Nothobranchius furzeri: one gene and its partner. The protein of the gene in region 1 interacts with the protein of each later gene in a pairwise test. Links are inferred from orthologs where the notes say so. Each region holds a gene or a part of one and is shown in the gene's direction. Other genes may lie near its edges.

Region 1 (2,921 bases):
GTGTCCTGCCTGCAGGAAGAGATGCGTCAGTCTGTAGCTCCTGCAGAGCCGGTGCAGTACTACTTCACCTTGGCCCAACAGGCTGGAGCTGTACAGGTGCAAGGCGCACAGCAGGGTCAGCAACCCGGCACGCAAACGGCCACGACCATCCAGCCCGGGCAGATCATCATCACGCAACCTCAGCAAGGACAGGTGCTTTAAACAGAGTTGAGGGAAAGGTGTAAAGAAGCAAAAACAGAAGGAAACCAGCTCTCTTTGCTTTAAAGAGTAAAGGGGTTTAGACTCGAGTCCATCCCTGTTACAACAGAACGTACGGTCTGTCTGAGCGGAGCAGCAGATACAGCAGATATGACCCTCTGAAGTCATACTTTTTTTTTTTTTAGTTAACATTGAAGGCGTAATAAGTAAGAATTTCACAGCGAAATGATCAGAAAACCTTCCAATGTCTTAATTATGCTGGAAGGAAAGTTACATCAAAACACAGTTCCTTTTCTGGGGGTCTTCAGGTTTTCTCCTTTTAAAATGGCTGAAGAGGGTCTTTGTTTACAATCTGCCCCAACTCCATACTCGCTGGTTCCAGAGCCAATCGTATGTGAGTTTTCACAGCAGCAGCGTTATGGACAGAATGCTGGCCAGTAAAAGGAACCAGGAGTTAATTCTGTACCCTCAAGAAGCCACGACGTCTTTTTGTTTTATTCTAATATTGGGTATTGAAGACTAGAGGCTAACGTTGAGCTAACAATGCTAACCGGGGATGAAAAATATTTGTTGGCTCTAAAAAAATCTCAAGATACTTCCTCCAATATTATTCAACTCAATATTGCAGCGAAACATTTTTATTTACGCATCAACTCGGTGTGTATGATCGTCTTCAGTCACTTTTGTTTGTATACAAGGGCTGCAGTACCCATAGTTCACCACAAGATGTCAGTCTTCATGCAGAAAACTACAAAATAAAACTGAACGATGTTTATTGTTATTAAAGAGATTCTAAATGCAAAACAAATAAAAAAATGAACCCAAAACAAAATAGAAGTGAAATGTAAACACTGTGAATCCTTTTTTTTTCTAATTTTGCACCCAAACAACAACATACCTCCAGTTTCTCAGAGTTAGCTGTGAAGTGAGCCTCATCCCCTGGCTCACGGTGCTTTCACCGCCCATCAAGCTAATCCGTAGTCCTTCCGCTTGTCTCTCTGTTTTGAATTGTTCATTTCCTGCTTGTTTTAGTTCTGCTTCCTTCCAGTTTGGCTCCTGCTCGTAGCTCGCTCCGCTTCACTCTTGCTTCACGCTGCTTCAGCAGACTGCTGCTAGCCGAGCTGTCAGACATGCTTGGGCCTCGTGTGATTCCCAGTCCTGCTTGTCACTTTGTCCCACACCCATTTACATTTACTCAGTGGCACATTGGATTAATCGATGTGTTTAAATTTAAATTCTCTAGAAAGTTTTTTTTTAAGTTTACTCAGTAAACAGTGCTTTTTTTTCTAGCTCTGAATACAAAAACAGACTGAAATTGCCCCTAAATGAGGCACATTCTGGGTTTAGTTGGTGAAGTAGAGCGTAAGCCTGGAGAAAAACTTCACATTTTATGTGTTTGCATGCAGACATCAGTAAAGATCATTTTATACACTCAGTGTCGTTTTTTAACCAGACCCAGGCACCCAGAATATAACATTTAAACAGGCATCAGAAACTGGAATTGGCTGAAAAAGAGCAGATTCTAGTGTTTATCAACTTTCATCATTTCATTTTGAATCTCCTGCTTCTCTTGGCGTTAAATGTTGCTTAAATCCTCCGTTTTCCATTCTAACGCCTGAAGCTCACGCTTACATGTGTGTGTTACGTTTTTGCTATCGCTGCCCTCTCACCGTGTGTCTTTCTCTCATTTTTTCATCCTATTCTGTCGGCCATCAGATGTTGCAAGGTGCCAACATGCAGCAGTTACAGCAAGTGCAAGTGCAATCACAAGGCACACCCATCACGGTAAACACACGCACTATTTGTCTACTCGGTGCCGCGGCCCGGTGGGTGACCACCACCTGCAAACTCTGGGCTGCTCAGATGACCGAACTCTCTAGGGGTGTCTGCAGCACGAGATCGGATGGCCTTTCCTAGATACTGTGACAGACAGAAGAGAAATAGAGGACATGAAACCTGTGATGTCACATCTTTTGGAGCCAGCTTTAGAATCATTGATTACATTTTGTTAAACGTAAATACTTTACGCTTTATGTTTATGGATTAACTGTATTTCAGTCATTCTTTTCCAGCTCTAATAGTCACGTGACGCCTGTTTGTGTTTATTTTTCTTCTTTAAGAGTGCGCCTGTTGCTATGCAGGTGGGTGAAGGCCAGCAGGTGCAGATTGTCCAGGCTGCTGCAGCGCAGGGTCAAGCTCAGACGGCACAAGCCCAAGGCCAGACCATGCAGGTTATGCAGCAGATCATCACCAACACGGGAGAGATTCAGCAAATCCCGGTAAGAGTTTGTGTCCAACTGGGAGAATTAAGGAAACCGAAGCGATAACACTAGAAAAATCAGATAAATGGTTGTAGAACAAACTAAACGGATGTTTTTGGAACATTCACAAGCAGGAAGTGAAGAATCCTGCATTGTCCAGGGTAGGAAAATGGCTGTCCTCTGTGTCTGAATGACCTTTTCTCTGAGCGAAACTCTGTCTCCCCCTTGTGTCGGTTTGCTGCAGGTGCAGCTAAATACAGGCCAGCTACAATACATCCGACTAGCCCAGCCTGTCTCCGGAGCGCAAGTGGTCCAGGGACAGATTCAGACTCTGACAAACACCCAGCAGGTAATCAAAGCAACAAAACCAGCCGGTGTGCTGCAGTCTGCATGAGTTGTGATTAAAAATAATAATAAAAAAATCACTGGGTGCACAAGTCACGATAAAGCCAAATAACGTGT
Region 2 (4,007 bases), on another chromosome or scaffold:
ATCGCATTTAGAGGCTAACTTTAGGGAAGAACTTGGATGAAGCAAAGGCAGCTTGTGTTTCCTTTAGTTTTATATGCATCCGGCTGTACAGTGCAGCAGAAACATGGCAAAGGTGACTTCTAAGAAATAAAACACAAAGACAGGCTTAACGCTGTGGGACACCTGAGATGGATGAGAGGATAAGACATGAGAGGATCAGGATTTACTGTAGAAATCCTGGGCCTGTTTTGGAAAGGCTATATGGAACATAGACAGCTATGGTTGTATGTTATTTTCTCTTGTCATGTTGTTAAAAAATCTAAAAGTTGGGGCTGCAGCAGTCATGAAAAAAGTCCATCAAACCCTGTAGAGTCAAAAGTATCGTTGCTTTAATCTTCACTAAATGAACACGTCAAAGTTTGTTCTTTAAGATCAGCTTTTTAAAAGTGCCTTCATTTTAAAATTACAATATATATCAAGGTTGATTTTGGTGACTCAGGGGTTAAGAGGATGAGGTTAAGGTTACGAGTTCAAACCGAGGTTCCCCCAATCATGTCACGTATTGCGTCCTTGGACAAGACACTTCACCCACCTTACCTGCTGGTGGGGGTCAGAGGGGCCAGTGACACCAGTGCTATGCAGCCTCGCCTCTGTCAGTGTGCTCCAGGGCAGCCGTACATTCTAGCTCATCACCATCATTGTTTGAATGTGCGTCTGAATGGATGAAGGATTCAGTGTAGTGTAAAGTGGTTTGGAGTCCTCTGATTGTAAGGATCTACACAAGTGCAGGTCATTTATTAGTTATCGTGACTAGTTTCTGGTATTAACGTTACAGTGCTGGCGTGATTCATTTAAAGCTTGAGTTTTTGAACATATTTAAATGTTATAATGAGAAATAAAAGGCTCATATTATCTAGTGTAAATCTTCGGCATCTTCAGAAAAGCTGACTTTGAAGTTTGATGTAATGTCACAAAACCTCCACGCGAGGGCGACCGTTGTCCAGCTGACGCTGAAAGCAACCATCAGGCTGTTATAAAGATTTTTATTGTTCGGCTTTTGTCATCACTAAACGAACACCTTAAAATTCTTACATTTCTGCTTCAGGCTGGATTAACATTAGTCCCTTAAAAAAGAGATGCACATTGGCTATTTCAACATATCTTAAAATCAGATAAAAGCATGGTAAGAAATTTGAGGGTTCCCTCTTATGAAATCACATGTACTTATTTTTATATTTGTCCAATTTTTAAATACCAAAAGACGTGGTAGTTGTTTTTTTTACATTACAGCTATAATTGTTCTCAAACAAAAAAAGAATACGTTTATTTGCATTTGTCAGTCGAGAATGTTTATTTATGAAAGGTAGCAAACAATGTGACTTTCAATATTTTAACGATTTGTACAATGTTTTTTGATTATTTTTTTAAATCTGTGACGGCCTTCTTTTTGGTAACGCTTTATGGAGTGTTTAGAAAAGCTTACTCCAGCTGTGAATGTACAACTGAGCACAGTTCAAAAATAACAGCACGCGTTGTCTTCAAAGATTCCGCTAGATGGCAGTATTTCCTGATGGGTTTCATTTCAGACTCCGACTACCAAGCCATGTTTCCGGTTTATTCGTCACGCGCATCCGTGACACATTTAGGCTAATGTTGCTAAGAATAAATGCTATCCTAAAATCCCTTACTGTAAGTTTTCCGTTTGTGTAATTTGTTTGGTTCATTTGGCAATGTAAGATAAAAATAATCGGTGGTGTTAAAGCACTTCATAAAGCTAGTCTTTGTGTGAGCAGCGGTACATACATCAGAGAGCTCTTTATTGTTAGCCTAATTGTAGCCTCAGCTTTCACTTCTGTTCTGCGGGGCTAGAAAACAGCAGCCGCTTTACTAGCCTGGTTGCTAATTAGACATACATCTTATTAATATACTAGGGTTTTGTGAAGTGTTTTTGTTCAGCGTGTGTGGAAGATATCCGTGACACTTGCTTTCATTTCTAATTCCTTAAAAGTCACATCGTCAGGCGGCTCATTGTTTGCTATAACACACAAGTAGCCGTTAGCCAACCGGCTAACTTTTGAGGAAGCGTCTCATCTCTTCATGACATTAACTTTGTGTTGACGTCTGCTCAACCCGATCATTTTATTATTTGTACTCCGAAGACTCAAGAAGATAGACATTTGTTAATTCTGGTAACTTCCACACACTAAAGAAGCGGAGCTCCGTTTTTTTATTTTTATTTTAATACTAGTTGGAAGTTATTTTTGTGCCACGATGGCTTCCTCATCTGGGAACGACGACGACCTCACCATCCCCAGAGCAGCCATCAACAAAATGATTAAGGAAACTCTCCCTAACGTTCGAGTGGCCAACGACGCCAGGGAGCTCGTCGTTAACTGTTGCACGGAGTTCATCCACCTCATTTCCTCGGAAGCCAACGAAATATGCAACAAATCCGACAAAAAGACCATATCTCCTGAGCATGTCATCAACGGTGAGTCAGTCCCGACCCAGACCAGGAAGAGTATCATCCTCCCTGGTTCTAACCGCTGAAACTAACTGATTGCACTTTCACCTCCTGTTTTCGCACCGCAGCCCTCGAGAGCCTCGGTTTCGCGTCTTACATCACGGAGGTCAAAGACGTCCTGCAGGAGTGTAAAACTGTAGCTCTGAAGAGGAGGAAGGCCAGTTCTCGACTGGAGAATTTGGGTATCCCGGAAGAGGAGCTCCTCAGACAACAACAGGAACTGTTTGCAAAGGTGAAACGTCCTCATGCGTGAAGCTTGTGCTTTTTGAATGAGCATTCTTGTTTTCCCTTTTGCCAATCAGTAATCGTTGGCCTGGGATGAGCTCTGAGTGTTTATTTAGTACTTTAAACTTATCTGTATAGCTGAGAATAAACAAAACAACAAAGTTATATTCATTTTTATTAATAACACATCGTAACATTTAAGAAACGTCCTGGTGAACATCGCAAATGAACAACAAAGTGCAAAGTTACAAAAATACTGTTATTATTAGAGTGAAGCAGATGATTTAGTTCATTGCTGATGTTATTCACGTTTAGCCTTTTTAAAGATTAAAAGTCATTGTGCTGCCTTCTAGGGTTGTCACGATACTAAAATTTCAAACTCGATTCGATACTGGGAAAAAACTCGGTACTCGATTTCGATACTATTTAAAAACACCAATTTATTGAACAAGTTTATTCAAAAAATAACATTCCTCAATTTATATTGCAAAAGTTAAATGTTAAGAATTAAGTGTGTAAAGTGCTTAAACCTTTCAAGTATCAGCATTTTTTTAAACGTGCATACAAAAACTGGTGAAAGTTAACACTTTAAATCATGAATTGTCCCACTATATATACACTATTTGCAGAGTGATGTTTTGCTGCTTAAACTCTGTTTAAGGTGCATTTTTGTCATAAGATGTAATGCCATATGTTTTGTTCTGTACTTTTGAACAACTCTGTTGGTCAATAAAGGGAGAAAACTAATTTCTCCTCAGTAGGACAAAGGTACATCTACCGGTAATCTTAATAAAAACAGACCAGCGCACGGCAGTGACGTCATTAAAAGCGCCGGTTAGATTAGCCGCGGCTAGTCTGTTTACGCCTAGAAATCCCAGACCCGCTCCAAACGAACAGGGGAATCACGTTAATGATTCCTAACAAAACCTTTCGACATTGAGATGTTTTGGTGCAGATAATGTCTTATTTCGAGGCTGCACCATGGGTGCCCGTCCGCACCCGTTATACGGATATACACTGACGGCGATTCGCCGATGGATCTACGGTAAATACCCCGGGGAATCCAAGTAGCACCAAAGTTGTCAGCATGAGTAAACAAACGTACTGCATGCTAGAAATTAAGTCCGGGTTGCAATAAACGGGAGTTTCCTTTAAGCACATAAGCGTGAATATACAACTACTTGTCGGACTTGGTATGCTAATTAAGTTGGGCTGTGAAGCGCCTCCCAAATTCGCTGTTTTTGTTTATTTTTTTTGGCAGACAAAACTTGGATCGGAG

What was found.
Region 2: the proteins of nfyc (region 1) and dr1 interact in binary tests that used the Homo sapiens proteins (3 or more experiments, as listed by UniProt). The link is inferred for Nothobranchius furzeri from reciprocal best matches to the Homo sapiens genes NFYC and DR1.

The regions. Positions count from the first base shown.
Region 1 is NC_091759.1:20,555,066-20,557,986, reverse strand, and holds part of nfyc (nuclear transcription factor Y subunit gamma), read left to right. Parts: intron 1-15; coding exon 16-192; intron 193-1,914; coding exon 1,915-1,983; intron 1,984-2,318; coding exon 2,319-2,477; intron 2,478-2,703; coding exon 2,704-2,808; intron 2,809-2,921. UniProt on the Homo sapiens protein: Component of the sequence-specific heterotrimeric transcription factor (NF-Y) which specifically recognizes a 5'-CCAAT-3' box motif found in the promoters of its target genes.
Region 2 is NC_091756.1:58,164,658-58,168,664, reverse strand, and holds the start of dr1 (protein Dr1), read left to right. Parts: upstream 1-1,193; 5' UTR 1,194-2,250; coding exon 2,251-2,470; intron 2,471-2,571; coding exon 2,572-2,735; intron 2,736-4,007. UniProt on the Homo sapiens protein: The association of the DR1/DRAP1 heterodimer with TBP results in a functional repression of both activated and basal transcription of class II genes.